Linked DNA regions of Arabidopsis thaliana. The protein of the gene in region 2 purifies or fractionates together with the protein of the main gene of each other region. This does not show direct contact. Each region holds a gene or a part of one and is shown on either strand. Other genes may lie near its edges.

Region 1 (6,031 bases), on a different chromosome or scaffold from region 2:
AACGTGTTTGAAACTGCGTCGTACTCGACCAAGAAGCATTGGGTAACAAGCCCATCTCCTCAAGCTTAACGGAACTTGATCCATAAACCCGGATAAAGAGTTTTCAGGATCCAACTCAGTTACGTCGAAACCAACTATCGAGCCATGAGTCAGCTCGTTCGAGTTATAATTAGCTCGATGACGACTCTTCTTCCCCCAAATAACATGCTCAGATGATGATGATGATGATGTCATCGAATCATTCCGATGAACATGAACGAGCTTTAAGAACGAGTTGTTCTCTTGTTCGATCAACTCGGTGAATCTTGTAGTGGATGAAGGTGAATTGAAGAGTAAAACGACGTCGGATTTTGAAGTAACTCCGGAGCGGTGAAGCAACCGTATAAAGAGACGGAGATCGTTCTCCGTTGTAACGGAAGCGATATGAGCAATGATTAAATCGTGCATGCTCTTGGTTCCTCTTAGAAACAGAGTACCCATTCCTTGTAGAGCGAAACGACGAGAGATGATGTTGCGGTTGAGGAGAAATCGCCAGTGAGGAGAAGAAATGGCGGGAAAACGAGAGGAAGGTTCTTCGAATGTAGAGAGAGTGAAGAGGAAGAGAGTGAGGAAGAGGAGGATGATGCAGCTTGAGATTGTGGATTCAGCCTTGGAGAGGAGAAGACGAGAGGATAATTTGGAGCGGAAGGTAGTTTTTGCCGGAGAATAATAAGAAGAAGAGTCGTTGTTGTTGTGGTCGGGGAATAGGACTAAGAACAAACCCATTCCTCTTGTTGTGGATCTTTACATTTTGAAAATGTATAAAGAGCATAAATAATTTACAAATGTAGTTAGATCTGATTAATTAACACATTTGAGTTTTACAAAATGTAGATAGATTGTATATGATGTGTACTAATAGTCTAAAAACTGAATGTTTCTCCTAATGAAAATTTTGCAGAATGAGACATCAAAAGAGAAGAGAGACTAGTCAGTTTAAACGGTATAGCTTTAGAATTGATTATGGTTAGTTCTGGTTCTCTTTCTAAACTTACCAAATTGTTAGTTTTTTTTTGTAGAACAAATAATTGGTGAACATGTTACTTGTGTTATTGTTAACCCATATAAGAAAAAGGTTATAAATGAAGTTGATAGAAGCTTACCATCGACACACGAAAATCCACACATTTCCTTCAATCATTTTCTTTTGCAATTTGTTTTCCACGTGTCCAGCCATCTTATTTCTTTTATTTTCAATGTTACAGCCAATTGGTCTATTTTCAATGATAATATGATATAGCTCAAGCAGACATTGATATTGCGCCTATTTTCATATTTTGCATTAGTATCCGTTTAATCTATGTCAATTAAGTTTAGTGTAGTTATACAAACAAAAAGTCAGGGTGGCCGAGTGGTCTAAGGCGCCAGACTCAAGTTCTGGTCCTCGTAAGAGGGCGTGGGTTCAAATCCCACTTCTGACATTTTTATTTTGTTATTTTTCCCTTTAATACATGACCTGATGACCAATTTCAAATTTACTCTTAAATTTTCAAGGATGAAGTTCATTACGAAAGTTTAATCTATTAGAAGGCAGAACTGAAAATAGCAAATAGTGCAAAAATTTTATTCTTTGGAACATATTTGAATAATGTGATTATTTTCAGCTAATTATCGTCTTCTCTTTGTCATAAACACAAAACAATGTATTTATCAATTATGTCTAAGGAAACATAAATTGATGAACAAGCAGAGTTTCACTTTCTGTCTACAAATTTGAAATTACACTTCCACAAAATCATATTATCGATAACAAACTTTTAAAATCACATTGAAAATCTCAAATCACAATGAATGATTCTTCAATGTAACGTTGTGTTAGTTCCACGTTCGATAAAACAAACCAAAATATAAATACTAGAATTCAACTCAAAATGTATGTGTATTCTACCTTTTGTTTTTGCAAAACTCAACTTCTTAAAACTCATACTAGTTAGAAGACAAATCACAGTGAGAATCAGAGAAAAATAATAATTTTAAAGCCTCATGAATGTGTATGAATTTTAACAATCACAAACTAAGTAAAGAGTATCAGCTTCCTAATTAGATAGCAGTATCAGCTTTTTACTTCCTAGGCAAGCGATATCCACCAAAAACACAAGCATGCTTTTCCTCACAAGAGTCAAGATGCAATATCTCTGTTGGTCTCAACTCTTCCATTTGTAACTTCTCCACTTCCATCTGATACACAGTTTCTGCTGCAATTGTTGAGTCTATAGAATTCGCCTGAAACAAGTAACTTAGAGTTAACCAAACAATGCACACTAAAAAGAGAATGATTTTGATTTGAATCAATGGTCAAAAAAGTTTTGTTACAAACCTTTATAGAGATCATAAAGTGCCCTCCAGATTTGAGGAAATAAGAAGCATTGAGACTTAATATGTTAGCTTGCTCAGGGTGATTAACATCAGAGAATATGATATCAACCATTCCCACAAGCATTCTATATTTAGCAGGATGTCTAGCATCTTCAATGATTGGTATAACATTAGTTCTCTTCTCCGCCATGTTCATCAAAACTTTACCACAAATATCAGAATGCTCAACAGCGTAAACACATCCCTCCTACCAATCAGAAAAGCTAGATATAAGTAACATAGAGAGAAAACACTCACTCAATCTTAAAAGTTAGGGTTTAAGGTTTAGTGTTCACTTACTGGACCAACAATGTCAGAGACATGAGACACGGTGTATCCAGAAGAAGCACCAAGGTACAGAACTTTAACACCAGGTTTCTACAATTTCAAGAAACAAGTATTCATTAGTTTCGGTAACAGAAGAATAAAAGAGATTGTTACTTTAAGTTATGGGACTTACGATCCAAATGTTATCAACACCAGTGGTAATAGCATCAGCTAACTTAGATCTATGAGGGTTCCAAACTCTGTATTCAACAGTAGATCGGTCTTCGTTCTGAACAAAGATTCTCTTCTCATTGTAAATGATTTCACCAGGAACTAAGTTCTTGGTTACAAGAGCATCTGCTTTACTTTTGGCAACAAACACTCCTGCGTGCCTGTGTGGTGTCACTAACACTTTGCTTCCTCCCTTAATTCCACCGTCCGATTCACTTTTAACTCTTCCAGGCCCTCTTCCACGGCCACTTTCGCCGCCTCTTCCACTGCCTCTTACGGCACTTCCTTCACCGCCTCTGGCTAAACCTCTTCCACCTCTAACACCACCACCACGTCCTGAGCATAATCATACAGATAAAACCGAAATTAACTAATCAGAAGAGAGTATTATTAAATCTCCTATTAAACTTGGATTGAAGAAGTGAAGACTCAAAACAGTTTACGTAACAAGCAATTCAGGTAGATATATTGTGACAAAACGAATTTGGAGTTAACAACCCTCAACCCTATACTATAGGTCGAACAGAGAAATTAAACAAGTAGTAAAACAAAACGGCTGCTAGGGTTCTAACCTCTTTGGGGAGGTTTCATCTTTGCTATAGAGCGAGAGCGAAAGCAACAAAGAGAAGGTTGATGTTAATCGATGTTTGCAGCTTTCGTGTTTGGTTTTTTTATTTTTTAGTTTTTATCGAGCCCCTGCTAGGGTTTAAGAATGTTTATCTATTGGAATTTGGAGTTGGTATAGGAAAGCTGGAAAGGTTCCATTTATTTTTCCGATAAATATGGAAAAGTTTTTATTTATTACATTTAACAAATTCTGTTAAACAGTTTACTTCTTGTAGGAAGATTTCAGATCCTATCGAACTCTTTTTATCGAATCACCACCATCAGATTTCTTGTTATGCAAGGAATACATGATTTTGAAATACAAAAGGTCAGAATATTAGGAGCTTAAGGCCCAATAATTAATTCAGGTAATGGGCTTATTAGACATGAATTGTTTTCGTAAACTTAGTGCCATAAGGACTAGATTGTAAAATTTTGCATCTTATTGTTATAACTTTATATTGCAGATCAAGTAATCAGAGATGCCTTCTGACTTTAAAGTCCAAAACAATCATTAGTTTAAACAAAACAAGAAGAGGAAAAAAAATCACACGAAGTTGGACAAAAAACTCATAAAATTGATTTTTTTTTCATTAGTTAATAAACAATTAAGGCCTTGAATGATTGTAAATTCTAAAATGGTGTCTAGTTTGCATAAATAGATTTTTTTTTTTTGCTTTTCATTAATTAATAAAAAATTAAAAATTTAGATTTCTTAGCTTTTCAGGAAACTTTTTTATGCAAACTAGAAACCATTTTAGAATCTACTACCATTCAAGGCCTAAAACTAAAACCAAAAACTACTTAGAATCTACAAATAATCAAAGAAGGCCTAAAACTAAATGACTTTCTGATATATATATTTCACAGATTTGACATTTTGATCCTCATCAGAAATGGATCCGCTGTCTTCACTGATGAAAAACGAAGAGCCAAAAAACTGGGCGGATCTTCCGACGGATTTGATGTGTTTGATTCTGCTACGTCTTAGCGTGACTGAGATACTGGAGAACGCTCAGAAAGTGTGTAGATCGTGACGATATGTTTGTAAAGACCCATCCATATGGCGTAAAATCGACATGCGAATCTTGAGTTACAACAAACCAGTACTGGTGAACAATCCTGAGGCGATATGTCGTAACGCCGTTGATCGTAGCGAGGGTGGCTTGCTGGAGATCAACATTGGGGACTTCGGGAGTGATTCTCTCCTTACATACATCGCGGAGAGGTTCTCCTCTAATTCTAGTTTTGACTTTTGATTACTTTTCATGTAAGTCTTCAAGTGTCTGTTAAAAACAGATATCTCAAGATTATGATTTATAACTTTTTACACACCATTACTTGTAGGTCAAGTAATCTTAGAAGCCTTAGACTAATGTGCTCAGAAATAACAGACGATGGATTTGTTCAAGCAGTTGTGAAACTTCCAATGCTTGAAGAGCTTGAGGTTTCAGGAATATCATTGTCAGGAGAGTCTATGAAACTTGCAGGGCTGTCTTGTCCAAATCTGAAGACATTGATGCTAAACCGCCTCTTTTACTTAAGTTCGGATGATGATGATCATGATGCCATAGCAATTGCAGAAAGCATGCCTAAACTACGCCATCTCCAGCTTTGTGGGAACAAACTAACCAAAACAGGCTTAAACGCCATTCTTGACGGTTGTCCTCACCTGGAACACCTCGATTTACGCCAATGTATCAACCTTGTCGGGAATCTAGAGAAGCGTTGTTTTGAGAAAATTAAAGATTTGAGACGCCACAATGATTCTACCTCTGCTGATTACCCGTTTTCTTTTGAAACTTACTATTTTCATTGGTCACGCCAATTGGCAATACTTAAAAATGCGCTACCGATGGAAGAAGGCGCCTATAACTTTGATCCAATAGTGGAAGAAGCCGAATATTACTTGAAACTGTATTGAGACTTATGTCAATAACACTTAGTCGGTTTGTTTGTGTTTAAAATTTTATTAACCAAAAAAAAATGAGTTCCTTTCAGAGCTAAGTGATACTTTTACGCCTTTTCTTGAGCATAATCATGTTCAAAACAAACTACTTCAACAATCAATTCAGCATGCAGAAACAAGTAGGATTAAAATGGACAGTAGTTCTTATAGCCAAGCAAAAACAAGCATAGAAAAGACTGATGGAGATACAATCATTGGACGAAAATGTTGCATCAATATATATTAGTTCTAAAACGAGGATAAAATTTTCCAAATGAGACATAAAAGCATTATCCATCTCTAGCTTAATACAACAAGCAAGGAGATAAAAACAAAACCCAGTAAATAAGTCTTAATACACAGGCACTACTGTCCACAGTTCCTCTATGAGGCTGGGGTCTTTTGTTTCTTCGGCATGCGGTAACCACCAACAACACAGGCATGGTCACGCTCAAACGGCTCGAGAGTCACCTGTTCTGCTGGCTTAAACTGCTCTTGTTGCAGCTTCTTCACCTCGCTCTGGAAGACTGCTTCTGCTGCAACTGTAGAGTCGATACAGTTGGCCTGAACAGATGAGACATGTTT
Region 2 (7,863 bases):
AACGCTTCCCCACAAACTTCAGACAACCACGAGGGCCATCCAGCAGCAACTTGCTCACCGAGCAAATTCTTTGGCGGGTTGCTCCGTCTCGGGTCAGGAGGCTTAGACCTTTTTCTTTCGCCTTTCGATTTCCTCTCCTTGGCCTCAGTCACAACAAAGCCATTCTCTTTCTTCTGATCCACAACATCTTCATGATTCCTAACTTCCTCACCATTAGAAGCAGAAGCAACAACAACAGCACTAGTGCTCTCTGTTGTTTCGGTTTTGGTCACAGACACATTGTTAACTTGATGTCGATTAGACTCAATCCTAGTACTAACTTCGTCTCTAGACCCAGAAACTGATCCTGATGATCCGGGTCGACCCAATACACAACCCATCTCATCAAACAAACCTTCATTTGCTCAACATGTTTCTAAAAGAGAGATCTCTGACTCAATCAAACCTCTTTGAATCAACTTTGACTGCAACACACACACATACATGAAAAATTGAAACAGAAAAAATCAGAAAACAAACAAGAAAATTGATTCCAACTAGAAACACATCGAAGATCAGATTTGACTAAAACAGGAGACTTAGAGAAAAGGGTTGGTGAAATTTACTTACTTTATGATCGAGGAGAAGCGAAATTCTGGACCAAGCTGGTCAAATCTGAGACTTGAACAGAGAAAGAAAATTAAACCCTAGTTTTAAGACAGGAGACAAGTCAAAGGAAGGTAAAGATCTGAAACTTGTTTAGAATTTAGACACAACACAAAGCTGACTCAAACTCAAAGAGACAACGAAAATAGGAATGAAATGAGGGATGATTTCAAAAACTCCACAAAGAGAGGCAAAAAGATAAAGGAAAAGGAAAAGAAATGGAGTCCAAGAAGATTTTAAAAATGAAACCTTTAAAGCATACACAAAAAAAGAAGAAAGAAAAATCAATTAGGGCTTTGGAGAAAAGGCAAGGTGATACATACACATATACAACAGAGTCGTAGACCAATAATAACTCTACTATTGTTTAAGAAGGAAGAAAGAGACCAACTTGGGTAAAAATGTCTCAAGGAGAAGAAGGATTCGTTGAACTGCTCTTCGAATTTTACTTGAAAAAGAACTCTCTTTAGTTTTCTGCGAATCAGACAAGAAAAAGGAATAAATAGAAACAGACGAAGATCTGTTGGCTCTTTGTTATTATTATTATTATGTGTAAGTAATTGTTTTTGGACGCAACACCAATACGGTCAAAAAGGCTCAAAGTTACTACTCTTCTTCAGCCCCCACCAACTTAAAAACCTCTGAGCACCATTTTGTACTCATTTCTTCTCTCTTTTCTCTATCACAATTTTCAATTTTAAAAATTTGTGGAGTACTATAAGTCTATAAAGTTTGGGGGAGATTTTAATGTGTAAGAGGTCCAATGGTGTTAAAGAAGTGGTTTTCTCAATGACATTAGAATATTAAAACTGATCTATAATTTTGTTGGTCAAAAACAATATATTACTTAGCATATGTAAAGAATATTTGGTATGTACCCACCTAATTTTGGAATTTATTATTAAAATAAACACTAAGAGTTTTTTTTAATATTAAAATAGGAATTGGAAAAACAAATAAAATAAGAAATATGGTATGTAATGAGAGTTTACTTCATCTATCCAATCAAAGAAGCTCCTTTATCAAGACTCTATTGTAAACCAAACAAGGAACAAAAGCTTAAGGAACTAATGATTTACGTCTGTCCTTTAGAATTAGCCATTTTATTTCTTTTATGACTTAAAGCTACATATATTATCTATTTATTCATTCATTCCCAGCATTATTGCTAACTACTATGTATTCTTGTAGACGATATACTAATTTTATTGACCTCATTAATTTGATTAAAATCTTGCCAGACAATAACCAAAGATAAACATGCATAGTCAACAAAGAGAAATACGATCATGAAAAAGATACTAACGCCTGTAAAAAATCTTTAAAATCAAAACAAAATCAAAGAGTATTTTATTTGGTGAATCTACAGACACGTTTAGTAGCAAAAAACTATTTGATTTTTTCAGAATATATTATTTTTCTTCAATTCTTTCCTCTTCCAGATATATATAAATCATGCAAGAAGAATATTGTACAACTACAAACTATAAATTGAAAAAAGAGTTCCAAAATTAATAATCTAGAGTCTGGAAGGCTAGAACAAAAATAAAGTTCGGGTGAAAAGGATTTAAATATGAATCCATCATTCAAAATGACGATTTCAGAAAATTTAAGTTTCATCTTAAAACACCTATTCCTCTAGATAAAATGCAATTCAACAAAAACAGTTATTAATCTTACACTCAAGAGATTTCTCAAAATCGGTTTCTCTCCCTCAGTCCTTACTCTTCTTTTTCTTCTCTTTCTTATCCTTCTTCTTGGCTGGTGTCTCCGTTGTTTCTTCTTCCTCATGCTTTCTCTTCTTCTTATTCTTCTTCTTCTCCTCCTTTGCAACCTCTACTACGGCTTCAGTTTCTGCTTCAGCTTTCTTCTTCTTCTTTTTCTCTGATGGCTCTTCCTCTTCGGGTTTCTCTTCTTCTACCTTCTTCTTCTTTTTCTTATCTTTCTTCTTTGATGGCTCCTCAGATTTAGCTGAGGTTTCCCCAAGAAGAGAATCTGCAGCAGTGTTGTAAGTCTGCACATAACAAAAAACAGTCAAGATCACTTCATCATAATCCCAAGAACAAAGACAATATGTACACACATCCAAAATTAGAAGAAAAGATGATGAATCAAAAACAGAGAGAATGATCGTGACCTTAGCAGGAGTGATAAGACCGCCTGATCCCATCTTTTTATCCTTGTTATAGACTTCAATCTTAGGTTTGCCTTTAGATGAACCAGACAGACGACCTAAATCTTTTCCTTCAAGATTTCTCAACCGCGCTTCAAGCTGTGAGTTTTTAACACATATCAGAAACATCATCAGTTAAGAAGGAGGAAAAAAGATTGTTCAGAGAGATACCAACAAGAGGAAAGCTATTGAAGAATTTTGTTACCTTAGCTCGGTTTTCAAGGCCCATAGTGTTATCTTGGCTATCACCAAGAGCATCAACCCTAATAGCAAGAACAGTTTTAGCAGCTAAAGACCGCGAGATCTTTCCCTTGTGCTTTGGTGCTGCTTGACCAACCAGAGATGCGTGAAAAATCAAACCGTACTTGGGTGTGGCGTGTTTTGTCTTAAGAGCTCTAAAGAGAGCTTTTTCGGCTCCGAGTATCTGAACCGTGCTCCCAGGTTGCTTGGAGAGGTTCAATAAACTACCTCCATGGGAAATAAGACGAGCACCAACAAGCTCTCCTACCAGGGCAGTCAGATTGGGAGCAATAGTGTTCATTCTGCTCTTTAGGTAATCGTAAAGCTGAGCTCTGTACTCAGAAAGAGAGAGAACCTGGTCACAGAGTTCACGGATGTGCAACAAGTCTAAGTCACTGACTTCTGTTCCCATGGATATCACAGCTGCGTCCTTAAGATCTGCCTCAATTTCATCTGCTAAGATCTACAATGAAACCAGAAACAGGAGAATATTAGGTCGTTAATCAAGGCGTTTGTTCATGGAAGCCTCTACACAGTTTACAAAATTGAAAGTTACCTCGGAGAAGTCTAGCTTAGCAGCATTAACTCGGTTTCCCATCAATTTAACAGATTTGGCATATAGGATATTGTCTGATATGATCTTAGCAAGCTCGGGAAAATGCCATCCATACCATTCTCTAACCCTCATGGCGTATGTGTTCAGCTCTTTGTCAAGATCATCAAGCAGACCAATAGCTTGGATAATCATGGTATCCACCTGACAAAAACTAAACAGTTAGGAGATGCAAGAGAAGCAAAAACAAACACAGGAAACGTTTAATGTCGGACAATCAAAGGCTAGTTCAATACAGAAGTTCCATAATTTAACACAAGTTAGCTTCGATCAATTAACAAATTCATATACTTCACATATCATATCACCAAATAAAAAGACCAATACAATTAGTCAGGAACCGAAGATACCTTGTCAGAACTAAACTTTAGCTTATATCTGGCGAGACTGTGAGACAGACCCAAGCTCATAGGAGCCAAGTCTTGATCACCCAACCCAGATATGAGTTCAGTAAACTGACTTCTAACACCACGTAGAAGCTCCATAACAGCATTGTTGTGAATGCAATCAATTTTCTGTATGAAATTAAGAACTTTCATTAGAAACAAAACACAGAGCAGACAGGAATATGGGTGTAATGATGGGAATTACAAACCAGTTTCTCCTTGATAACATTCCCAAGCTTTGAATCAGCCACAGCCAAGGTTTCACCTTGACAATTAGCTTTCAAAAACTTGCGCAGACCTTTGCTTGGAGCTCCCTCCAGCAATTTAGCCACAGCTTCGAGAGCTTCAGATGTATTGTCAAACTTCTCAAAAGCTTTTAGCTTAACCATCTGGTACACCAATAAAAACATATGAGAAACTCAACACTAAATCTAATTTTAGATGTTCTGAAACCACACTTGATGAAGAAGCAAAAAAATTACCTTTCGTGCTGAGTCTGGAGTGTCGAACTCTTTACACAAATCCTGCAAAAAAAAATAAAAAATAATCCATGAATACTTTTAGAGCCTTAAGGATAAGCAAAGAGAGTACAAAAGAATGAAGAGAACTCACCTCGACGTTAGCCATCTTTCCTTCATCTTTAACTTTAAAGAGGGCAAACCCCGCCGCTGTCTCGTATAGCACTAAGACCATCTTCACAAAACTCTTAAGCTGGACCTGAAGAGAAAATTAAGACAACACTTAACTCAGAACAGTAAAGATACGTGTCCGAGTCACACTAATTAAACTAAAAGTTCGTTTTGAGATTAAAAACTAGCGAGAAACAGCATTCCATATAAACCCTAATCCTACTTTTAGATCACATAAGAAATACAGGAGAAGAAAAAACAGAGAGATAAACTACAATAGCCTTAAAACTCTGTCCGAGTATGAGTATTCGAAACTCCACAATCTCCAGCAAGAATGGAAAAGTGAAACACCGTGAAGAGAGAAGATGAGAGATATTAAATACCTGAAGAGTTAATCAAAGCAGCTGCGTGAGAGAGAGGAAGAAGATGAAGACGGAGACGGACAATCACTTAGGGTTTTAAGAGTGTGTTGTTATAGCAGTTAAAGACGAGCCGAGCCTTCTTAAAACGCCGCGTATTGTAAGGGGTATTTCTATAACTTCCATAGTTAGGGTTTAGGTTTTAAGATTAATGGGCCTGACTGAATGGATATTTTAATCTGGCCCGTTTATAATATTAATACGTGGGCGTTTTATTGTTCTCTTCCCCCTTAATAGTTTTTCTTTTTTAATCCCTTTGTTTCTCTGTGGTATTCAACAAATTTGTCTCGAATTTATAGAGCTCGAAGCTTCAAGGTACGGTTTCAAATTTTCTCGTTGATTTTCTGGGTAGATAGCGTTTTCCATACTTCTCTTCAACTTTATTTCATAGTATAGCTCTGATTTTGCTAAAACTTCATCTGATTAGTTCCGTGGATCCTGAAAATCACGATTTTGCGTGTTGTTTAGGGTTATACTCTGTAGTTGTGTGATTAGTGTTTGAAGAAGCTGGGCTAGTGTTCGATGTTTACGTCGATAACCTAATTTTGCAGGAAGTTATAATGGCTAGTGAAGATGAATCGATTGAACAAAAAGCTGCTGCTCGTAAAGAGGCACTTAAAGCTCTAAGGGCAGCTCAGGAACTGTCTGAGACCAAGGAAGACGGAGAGGATGAAGCTGTCGAAGAAGAGTGAGTTTGCTTTGTTCTTTGCTTATTTTGTTTGTCTTGACTAGCACATGGAGTTGTTAATGTTGTGTGTTGGCTTTAGCATAACTAGGAGCTTCTCTTGTGCTTTGCTTCTCGCCTTTACTATCACTGTTTGTGAGAGAATCAATAATGGTGCTCTTGCAGCATCTGTTACCTAACAATTTTTTCCAATTTCAAGTTGCATTGTTGTGTATACTTTGCTTAGGTGGTTGGTTTTGTTGATTGATTATTCGAGGTAGATTCCCTTTTTATTCATATGAATTGTCTTTGATTTTACAGTGGTCCAGCCATGAAGTTTAGAAACTATGTTCCCCAAGCTAAGGAGCTTCAGGATGGTAAACTAGCGCCACCAGAGCTACCCAAATTCGAAGATCCGATCGTTGCACTTCCACCTGCTGTAGAGAAGAAAGAGGTGTGTGTGACAGTTTTTCTTTTCTCTGTACAAGGATCACCAAAAGCGACTCTGTTTAGCATTGTTGTTTCCTTTACTTGTGCCTCTTAAGCTTACAAAAAATGTTATCATTGTAGGACCCATTTGTTAACATCGCTCCAAAGAAGCCAAACTGGGACCTCCGAAGAGATGTGCAGAAGAAGCTTGATAAGCTCGAAAGGCGGACTCAAAAGGCAATGCATAAACTCATGGGTAAGTGGCAACTGTATCTACATACTGATATCTTCTATGTAAGCTTGATAATTAAGACATTAGTCTGTGGTTCGTGAGTAAGTGAGTAACATTTCACTGAATCTGTTGGTAGTATGATACCAAATCATAGAAGTCCAAAATAGAGTGATCTGTTGGTGTTTGTTTATTATGGAACTAACACATGCACTTTCATCATCTAATTGCAGAGGAGCAAGAGAAAGAACGTGAGATGGCTGAAGCTGATGGTAACACCATAGAAAGTTGAAACCCAACGACGTCATCAAAGAAAGCCACCACTGAACAGTATATTCTACTCGATTTTGTTTAACTGTTAAAGCATTCGAAGTGAGTAGACCATGTAAAATCCTACAGCCATTGGCATAGACATAGTAGGTTTATCTTCTTGTGTGAATCAAAGAAAGTCGCAATTTATTTCCGAGTAGAATTAAGTGCGGTCCGGTTTTTCTCTAAATTTGGTTCAACATCGGTGGTAATCTAGTTTGATCATTAATGGAACTGCGTTTTTTGGTTTGATTCGATTTACTGTGGTTTGATAAAGACATCCCAAACTAGAAACCAAAGTTTTGATTCGGGCTAGACGGGTTTAGTTTGGAGTCTGGGAAAACAACACAGAGAGCTTCTAAGACCTTTCTTCTCGGCATGTTGCTTCCACAGTGGGATGATGGAGTTTAGATACAATATTTGTTTATTAATACCGAACAATCAAAAATAGATACTAAGTTTTTTTGTTTTCCAAAGCTCAAACCTAATGTACAAATTCAGTAAAGCTTTCGACACCATCTCACCTAAATATCTTGGACCTTTATTGGTGCCCACTTCTCATGAATCCAAGCTCCAAAGAAGAGAAGCTAAGTAAACACTAGGCCAAGGTAAACCAAGATATATGCTTTTCGAAGGAACAAGCAATGAAAAGCTATAGACTTCCATGTGATTAAATGCACCAGCAGACAGATCCCAATCTGTAGAGCAATAAATGAATATGGTGATATTCAATTTCAAGGCTTCGATCAACATAACATTATTGTTCCTATCATTTGTTTCAAACCAAAAAGAGCAATCTACAAAGGCTTTGGTATCAGGAGTTGTGAAAAAGCTCACATGAAAAATCTACCAACTCAAGTATCTCTATTTTTCTTTCTGATGAAAATACCTAATATGAAATCACCTTCCCAAGTAAAAACTGTCAAGTAGATGGAGCCGCTCAATAAATTTTATCTTGACAACACACCAACATAATGCATTACCACAAGTTTTCACCTTTTTCTAATATTTTACCTCAAAAGTTATCTAGCTATAGCCACTCTGTAGTTGAGAATCAGATCCTCAGGTTTCTTCCATACATATGCCCGTACAGTTGCTAAACTCATATCTGGAGATAAGACCTGAAA
Region 3 (8,487 bases), on a different chromosome or scaffold from region 2:
AGCCTCTTACTTCTCTAGAATATGAGACTTTTTAAATTCTTCCCACAATTAAATATATTATACCAAATGTATAATTATTTTTGTTGACACGTCTAACAATCATGTGGTTTAGTAACTTTAAAAACTAAATTTTATATGATAAGATAAGTTTTTTTTTTTCTTATAATATGAAAATTGACTTTTCAAATTCTTTCCATATGTTAATATGTTATACTTGTAAATATGGTTAATCTCATTGAACATTTTATTTGGTTAGTAACTTTCAATATCAAAGTTTATATAGTAAGAGAAGTTTTCACCTTTTTTTATTTATACAGAAAATGTGAAATGACTTTTCAAATTCCTTCCACATTTCAGTATGTTATACTAAAAGTATAGTTAATACGCCAGTTAAAGTTTCAATTAATGAAAATATCAATATGATCTAATTAGAAAAGGGCCAAAACTGTAATTTTTGTATGTTTTGACTGGTAGAGCTAACAGAGAAAATTACTTTTACAGAGAGTTTTTGGTCTATAAAGAGAGCTTGCATGGCTTCTTCACTACACTTCAATCGTTATCACTTCTAAACAAAACCCAAAGAAGATGCACAACTCTCTAACTTCTAATCAGAGTGGGGCTACTAGTCCGACGGTTTTCTCCGGCGAGTTCGCCGATGACGTCGACTGGTCCGATGAAAACTGGCCGGAACTAGAGTTCCGTTCAGCGGAGGACGAAGCTTGGTACGCCGTAGAATTTTCTGACATCTGTGACGCTTTGTGGATCAGCTTCAACGGCTTCTCTTATGAGCACGACGAGTTTTATCCAGCTGACGATTTCAAAAACTCCGACGAGATTCAAGAATTCGAAGAGAGGTTTCGAGCTTGTTCCGAGCAGATGCAAGACATCGAATGTCCCAAGGTCCATGAAGGCACCCAGGTCTGCGCCACGTTTCCTTCCGTCACCGAAGAAGTCAAGTTCTACGACGCTATCGTCGTTACGGTGAGTTCTAGAAATTAATCCCGGTTTAGTGTTTGAAATCTCAACTCCGGTTTGAGTAATACGGTTTTTGTGTATATAGGTGGAGAGGACGAAGCATGAACGAGACGAGGAAGGGAACGAAATTTGTGGATGTGATTTCAAACTTTTCTGGAAACAAGGTCCTTGGATTAACCAAGTGACTACTGCGAAAGTTGGAGATATTTGTCTCAGAGCAAAGGATAATCGAATAAATCCAAAAGTGGTTTCGTTCTTGAAAGAAGCTAGAAGGAAGCTTCATGGAGAAACATGTAATCAAGGTAATTTATTACACTTATCTTTCTTTTGTCTTATGATTAAAAACTTACTATGTAACGGATTAGTGTATATGTGTGAAACAGGGGAAGAGACAGAGTGGCAAAAGATTCTTGAGAAGGTGAATTCTGCTATTCAAAACAACTTAAGCGTTGATGGATGATTATGTTATGTTGCTTAGTGTGTTGCAAAAAAAAAACTGAATACTCTAGTTTGGGGAAGTCTCTTAGTTCATGCCTATCACTCCTTGTTTTTTTTTTTCTTGTTGTTGAAGTCCTTGGTCTGAAATATATATGCTTGATTTAATTGTGTTGATGAACATCACATAAGGTTTTGTAAACAGAGGCATAATTGATAATTACATTTGCAAACTCTAAAGTTCACAATCATAGTCCATCAAATACTTAGGAGCCGAACATCAAAAATGAGAAATTCCAATTCTAAAAACATTAAGATATCAGAAACCAGAGGCCCGCCGTAGAGATTGCCATTGCGACGGAGAATAATGGTGACGTATGGTGGATCATCAATGTTACAAAAATAAAAAAATAAAAACGGGTCAAAAGGTCAGAAATAACAGTAAAAAAGAACTTGCAGAACAAGAAATAGGTCAAAGTCTTTCTGACGGTACAAAAATGACAAATTCGTCACGGTGATGATGGTGACGTAACTGTACCTGAGAGTAGAGAGACCTTGATTAGAGACTAGTGAGAGAGACTTTCCACAAATGAATCATTGAATACTAACTAATGAAGAAGAAACTATAATCACTTTATTTACACCAAAAAAAAGGGGTATTATTTACATTATTCAATTGAACGGATTCACGAGTCGGGGTTGTCGTTGCTATAAAATCTGGCTTAAAGTTGATTGGCCCCTTTTTGGGTTCAAGTCCATCTACTATGTAAACAGCATTTGTATGATTCCAATTTTTGGTTTTTAAGCAAGTGTAAAATAGGCCAACAAAAGCTATCTGGAAGAGGAAATCTGGGAAACAAATGCTATGGTCTTATCACTTGAAACACAAATCCATTTTTCAAAAAGATTCAAGTGTTAAAAAGGAAAGAAACAATCTTTTGCAGCTACAACACCATTCAGAAACCCCTCATCAGAGATTCTATGAATTCAGGGCAGTTTTATTGAACATTAATCAGTTCGACATCAAAAGTCAGCCAAGAATTAGGAGGAATCTGGCCACCAGCACCCTTCACACCATACCTGGGAGCCAAACAATATTATCATCCCATTAAAAAGGTTTAACAAAACATTGCTAATTCAAAATAACATAAATCAAAATGAGTTTACTTACCCCATTGATGGAGGAATTGTAAGCTTCCTTTTGTCACCAACGCGCATGCCTGTGGAATTCAAAAACTTGAGATGAATACAACACGATTCACTTTTTGAACAAAGTTATAAGTAAAAAAACAGTAAGAAATTAAGATATATACCATTAACTCCAACATCCCATCCCTTAATGACTGATCCAATACCTACACGTTACAATAAGAACATAAAGTATCACTTACACCAGCAATACACTGTAATTCTCAACCAATTTCCCAAGCTATTATCTTTGAATCTAGTTATAATACCAACCTAGACGAAACTTAAATGGTGATTTTCCAATGTTGGAATCGAAAATCTTCCCATTCTTCTGAAGTTTTCCAATATAGCGCACAGAAACCTGCACTCAGAGACAATAGAATGAGCTCCAAAAAGATTTGGGAAAACACACAAATACATTGATGCACTCTAATAGGATTTTGGATTCAAACCAAGTTCACAAAGACAATTAGCCAGAGTTAACCACAACTTAAGGGTTTGAGTGTTTGTAGGTTTTACAAGCCATTAGTTTGTTCACTTCCTATTTAATGTATATTCTTTGGTGCTCTTAGGTCTAAGTCTAACAAGGTATTACTTTGCTCACTTTCTATCTAGTGTCAATTCTTTCAACACCCACATTCTTATCACACTACCACCTTGTTGCATAATCTATATGAGATTGCAGTAACCATATGATATTATGTGTGCAATTTATGACTTTAAGTGTGCATACCGTTTTTCCAGGATCAGCTCTCTTGCCGTTGGGTTTTCCCATGCTCAACTCTTCAACAATGAGCCCATTTGGGTATGTCCGTACTTGAGAAGACTTGGAGTCCGCTGGGGTTTGCTTCTCAACAGTACCAGAAATTTCTGCAGCTTCGTCACTTGGTTTCTTCTTTTTCTTATTTTTAGTTTTCTTCTCAGCAGATTTATCTGGGGTCTTGGAGCTTTCACTCCTGCAATAATACCATAAAAAAGCACAGACTTTTGTTAGGAGAAAAAGTTTGAAAGAACCGCTGTATACTCATAAGCGTTTTTTACTTTGTGATCTATGTGAGTAATAATTCAAATACTTACTTACTGATATTTCACAAATGACATAAACACAATCTGTTATCACCAAAAAAGTTCTCAAATCAAGAAATAAGAGTTCTCACATGGCATTGTTTGCAGTTCCATCTTGAGCTTTTGTGTTTGAAGAAATTTGGCTAATATCCTGCTTCTTCAGAACATTTCCCGTCTGAACTTGTCCAGCTTCCTCATTTAAGACATTTTCCCCTTTCTTCTTCTCTTTCTGATTTTTCTTCTTTTTACTCTTGTTTGCACTGGAACAGATTTTAGAAACAACTTCGTATCCCCACGATATATAAAATATGTGAACTCTGTCCTCAGAGTCAATAGAGAGCAAAGAGAGTAGTACCTTTCTTGTCCATCATCTTGCTCAGCAGCCTTGGCCTTCCGTTTCTTGTTACTACCTTGTTCGTCATTATCTACAACCATCTTCTCACCTGACGCATTCTCTACTTCAGATGATTTTCCTTTAGGAATAGGTAAACCGTCTTCGTCTTCATCTTCGCTTTCCAAAACTGGAACATGGGCACCCTCTATGGCAACGATTTGTTTCTTTGCATTCTCACCTTCGCTAGCTTGACTCTTCTTCTTGGTTTGTTTTGCCTTATTATCTTTGGCAGGTTTCTCTTCATCTTCTATCTCCTCAATTATAACTAGCAAAGATATCATTCAGATTAGTTTTAACAGAACAAGGAAAGATCAATCATATAAACTATTAACACAAATGTAGAACAGGATCAGCACCAAGGAGACACACTTGTACAAAAGCTTAAATTTACGGACATACATTTGAAAAGTCTTTTATCAATATCTTTTTGAAACCTTCTAGTTATAAGACAAGAGTGACGAATCAAGCAATCACACTAAGCTAAAATGGAAGTACTAAGATGCAATCTGATAAGGATCTCTGTAAGAAAAAGTACCTCCACTCTTTGGGGCAGCAGCATTCCGATACCTTTCAAGATTGCTATCAAGGAAGTCTTCAAATTCATCCAATTGCTCATCCTCTTCACTATCATATTCACACGAATCGTCTTCCTCAGACTCACCAACATCAATACCATCTCTATAATATAGTCGCAATGAAAACATTAAGATTTCTAAACAGATGGAATAATAGAAAAACAAGAAAGCATTATTTGCTAAAGTAAACTAGTAACAATGAAAGGATACGAATCATCTTCATCATGCTCATAATCATCTTCATCGTCCTGATAATACTCCAAGAATCCAGACAAGTGGATACTTCTGTCACCAGTCACGGTGAATTCCACTGGCTCATCATCATCGTCAAACTCAAGATTCAGAGGGCAACATTCGATTTTGTTTGGCAACAATGAACACAAAGCAATAGGAGCCTTGTCTCCTATTGAACACTGAATCACACTCTTTTCTTTGCTCAAACCCGTACCTAGAGTTGCCTGAATGATGGCAAAACATACATACATCAATAGATATATCAAACATATTCAGATTCCAAAACTAGACTACACAAATATACAATTCATATCCCAAATCAGCTCGAAGGAACAAGAGTATAGTACCTGGGTCACGTGAATCTTTCCTTGTTCATTTTTTGGATTATAAGCTTGAGGCTTCCCAGGTTTCACTTCAAGTCCTGCATATGTTAACAACACAAAATCAGAACCTAGGAATCATGCTCCGGGAAAATCAAAGAAAACACTGAGCAGAGAAAACTAACCCCAGAATCCCATTTTCTCAGCTAGGTTACTCCTTGGAATCGAAGCGGCAACTTTGTTTCTACAGACTAAAACCCTAATCGAAGGTTTTTAGCAGACGAGCTTTATATCGAGATTAAAGCGGTTTCGAGAAATTTCGACAATTTGTGCAACCGCGCTCTCAGTTTGGGCCTTAACAGACTTTGAAATTCAATGAAGCCCCAATGAAGCCCCAATGAAGCCCATATATTGGTCTGTCATAAATCGTAAAGTAAATGGTATTGTCAAGATACTCTTCATATTTGATAACATTTAATTTGTGTTCATTATTTTACTAGAGTTAATTTGAAAAAAAAATCTATAATTTTCTCTCATGTAAACGCAAATTCAGAAATTTTGTTTTAAATAAAACAATATGAGACCTATCTTTCAACAAAACAATACAATATTGAGACCTAAACACACTGTACAATGACGTGAGTTTCTATCTTTCTTGTCAAAATCTGAAGTAAGTGTACAAAGTAATGTCTTTTTGTTGTATGTAACCAAGTTAGTTAAGTGTTTGTATCTCTTGTTACCAAGGAACGAAGAGATTTCCACTTGATTTCTCCATAATTCTACCATCGCTTAGGTCTGACCCTGAGAGTGAGCCAGCCTCGAGTTGGCTCTCTGAAGAATACAGCGGAGAGGCAAAGCTCGATCGTTACAGTTGTATACCGGAACAGCGGTGAAAAGTTTAGTTGTTGTTTAGGTAATTTTGTGAAACCAAGTATTTTCTTGTTAAGCTAATTGTTATGATGATCTCCATCTTCTTCGTAGTTGAACGGTAACGGGACAGTTTTGAACGCCCTGTATCTCCCAACGTTGTTCAAATGCTCATTCTCCAGCCTAATCAACAATTACATTTCATTAGTTTTGTGTAGATTCATGCATGAAAACACCATCTTCTCAGTCTCGGAGCTTACCTAAAGAAGTTCCAGATACCTCTGCGTATGATCTCAAGGCAAGCCATAAGCGCGACCATAGTTTCTCTATGCAAGAAAGAGAATTTCAGATCCAAAACTGTTTGCAACCACACTAACCTCAACAAAACATTCAGGACCTGCCAAGTACATGAAGCAACAATCTTCACCATATATGTATAAAGAAAAAACAAAAACAGAGGTTATTGCTGTTTTCTGTTTGCTCTCACCATTGCAGCGTAGTACACGGTTTTGTGAGGAACAAGAAGCTTGTCTCTCAAGAAACTATTCTTACATCCTCTTTGAAGCAATCCCCAGTCAAGAACAATGTCCCAGTAAGTTCCGTAAAACGTTGCAACTCCTGAGAAAACCCAAGCTGTGATATTCCAGTTGCTTCCTCGGTTTAGAGTATAAGCTGTTCTAAGAGAAGCAGCAACGATGGTCAAAAGGTATTTGATGCCATTGTAGCCATGACTCAGATCTCTGTCTTCCACCATTCTTCGGATGCACTGAAGAAACCGTAACCAGTAAGGTATAACGGCGACGATGAAGTAGAATGTTCTGAATCCAATATTTGATGTGCAGGTGTTTCGTCGTCTATATCTGAAATCTCCAAAACCATAGTAGCATATGTAGAACTCTAGACTCCTCAGTGCTTGAACCTAGCATTGATTGTTTAAATCAGAAATCATCGATCAAAATAAGTATGAAGCTATCTTATCGAGTATAGATTTTCTCGAACCTGGCTTGTTAGTTGATCTCCCAAGAAAAAGTCCGGAAGATGCACCTGCAAAAATGGAAGACATTCTTCTTAACATTTCTGTTTATGCTTCAGATGAATGGAGAGGAGGATATGTTGTTGGTACCGCGTAAAATGGTGCAGCAATGCAGCGGAACAGAACCGAGAGGAAGAAGAATCGGCTTGACCGATACAAAATGTTAAAGGGGCAGAGAACAATGATAATCACTAACTGCAATATGCAGAGAAACGAGTCTTACTAAAAACAAAGATTGAGTTGTGTAAAATGTACTGAGAAATAGAGAGAGATAGAAGGAACTTACTACGAGAAGAAAGAGGGGGATAAGTTCGGTGACTAATCTGTAATCTTTTGTTTGAGCATCCATTTCCATGTCAAGGTTTAATAAGACAGCACATAAAGAAAGTGTACCAAGACCAAAGCTGAGAAGTAGAACATGTCTATAACCAAGTTCAGTGCCTTGTTTGAATCCAAAGATGAAGGAGTAATTCACACGGTATCGCCTCCAGAAGTAGATATTAGCAGCGTACACGTCCATGTGCAAAACTACAAACCCAAAAAACCTGCAAATGAAATGTATATATCTCAAGAATATTACACAGAGACAGAGATAGTGTGTTTGGTTTATATTTGGTCGTTTTACTGACCTGTAAAGAGGGAACATTGTTTCCATATAAGTTCTTTGTCCCGGTGTACCCATGATATTACGAGCATGGATGATCAAACCCAGAGCTACAATGAGAGAAATACCACAGCCGAAAAAGAAGCCTAAAACAAAACAAAAAACAGAACAAAATGATGAATTACTCTTGAAAATACATGTCAAAAGATTGGTTATTGTAGTGTTGATATATATACCGGTGGAAAACGTTATAAGATGACGTTCTTTATTTATTTTTGGTCTTAAATGGCTCATCCCTTCCCTCCGATTTGAATTGGAGAAATGTTCAATGAAAATAGATTCAACCTTTAGCAACAACTTATGAACCTGCACATGTTTAAAGCTTCAAACTAAAGTTTCATGTTTCGATTTTCCTAGATAGAAGAAGGATACTTACTTCTTCGGAGCTACTGAGGAAAGATTTATCGACCATCTCCATATACAGTTTCGCAGCATTTCTTTTGGCTATCTAAAGAGTAGAGCATATATATTAAACTAGAGTAAATGCTGTAAAAGCTTGTCAAAATTATCAACAGAAATTAAGTACCTTATCATACTTCTTCATGATCTTGGAAACAGCGGAAGCGTTCAAGAAGCTGTAGTTTTTAAGATGTCGAAGCTTCTGATAAAACTCAATGAACGCTACCTGAAGTCGCTTTTCCACTTCCTTGAGATTATCTCTTGTGAATTTGAGCTCGTCCTGCTTATGGACCTTGAGTATAGTTTTAATTGCGGACAGAGGAGTTATTTCTCGAGTT

Evidence for each region.
Region 1: the proteins of AT3G05060 (region 2) and AT5G52490 fractionate together in Arabidopsis thaliana (co-fractionation; one large-scale study listed by BioGRID). This does not show direct contact.
Region 3: the proteins of AT3G05060 (region 2) and FKBP53 fractionate together in Arabidopsis thaliana (co-fractionation; one large-scale study listed by BioGRID). This does not show direct contact.

What each region holds. Positions count from the first base shown.
Region 1 is NC_003076.8:21,296,309-21,302,339, reverse strand, and holds AT5G52490 (Fibrillarin family protein), read right to left. Parts: upstream 3,484-6,031; coding exon 3,465-3,483; intron 3,229-3,464; coding exon 2,855-3,228; intron 2,773-2,854; coding exon 2,695-2,772; intron 2,603-2,694; coding exon 2,357-2,602; intron 2,263-2,356; coding exon 2,101-2,262; downstream 1-2,100. Other genes in the region: AT5G52500 (uncharacterized protein), read right to left, coding at 1-765; AT5G52480 (RNI-like superfamily protein), read left to right, coding at 4,578-4,726, 4,846-5,422; FIB1 (fibrillarin 1), read right to left, coding at 5,831-6,010. UniProt on the Arabidopsis thaliana protein: S-adenosyl-L-methionine-dependent methyltransferase that has the ability to methylate both RNAs and proteins. Involved in pre-rRNA processing.
Region 2 is NC_003074.8:1,410,815-1,418,677, forward strand, and holds AT3G05060 (NOP56-like pre RNA processing ribonucleoprotein), read right to left. Parts: upstream 5,243-7,863; 5' UTR 5,070-5,242; intron 4,775-5,069; 5' UTR 4,751-4,774; coding exon 4,670-4,750; intron 4,582-4,669; coding exon 4,540-4,581; intron 4,447-4,539; coding exon 4,267-4,446; intron 4,187-4,266; coding exon 4,022-4,186; intron 3,816-4,021; coding exon 3,615-3,815; intron 3,522-3,614; coding exon 3,024-3,521; intron 2,918-3,023; coding exon 2,783-2,917; intron 2,660-2,782; coding exon 2,360-2,659; 3' UTR 2,053-2,359; downstream 1-2,052. Other genes in the region: AT3G05050 (Protein kinase superfamily protein), read right to left, coding at 1-380; AT3G05070 (Cwf18 pre-mRNA splicing factor), read left to right, coding at 5,666-5,793, 6,091-6,223, 6,340-6,454, 6,661-6,719; AT3G05080 (uncharacterized protein), read left to right, coding at 7,224-7,331; LRS1 (Transducin/WD40 repeat-like superfamily protein), read right to left, coding at 7,759-7,857. UniProt on the Arabidopsis thaliana protein: Required for 60S ribosomal subunit biogenesis.
Region 3 is NC_003075.7:12,957,249-12,965,735, forward strand, and holds FKBP53 (FK506 BINDING PROTEIN 53), read right to left. Parts: upstream 5,524-8,487; 5' UTR 5,385-5,523; coding exon 5,372-5,384; intron 5,288-5,371; coding exon 5,214-5,287; intron 5,091-5,213; coding exon 4,843-5,090; intron 4,736-4,842; coding exon 4,593-4,735; intron 4,323-4,592; coding exon 4,019-4,322; intron 3,924-4,018; coding exon 3,756-3,923; intron 3,555-3,755; coding exon 3,332-3,554; intron 2,960-3,331; coding exon 2,872-2,959; intron 2,766-2,871; coding exon 2,724-2,765; intron 2,647-2,723; coding exon of another isoform or gene 2,631-2,646; coding exon 2,582-2,630; intron 2,491-2,581; coding exon 2,409-2,490; 3' UTR 2,101-2,408; downstream 1-2,100. Other genes in the region: AT4G25330 (SAWADEE protein), read left to right, coding at 586-981, 1,061-1,277, 1,359-1,435; SHB1 (EXS (ERD1/XPR1/SYG1) family protein), read right to left, coding at 6,134-6,236, 6,314-6,450, 6,541-6,972, 7,053-7,097, 7,177-7,281, 7,373-7,631, 7,716-7,836, 7,927-8,056 and 2 more. UniProt on the Arabidopsis thaliana protein: PPIases accelerate the folding of proteins. It catalyzes the cis-trans isomerization of proline imidic peptide bonds in oligopeptides. Histone chaperone possibly involved in H3/H4 deposition to the nucleosome.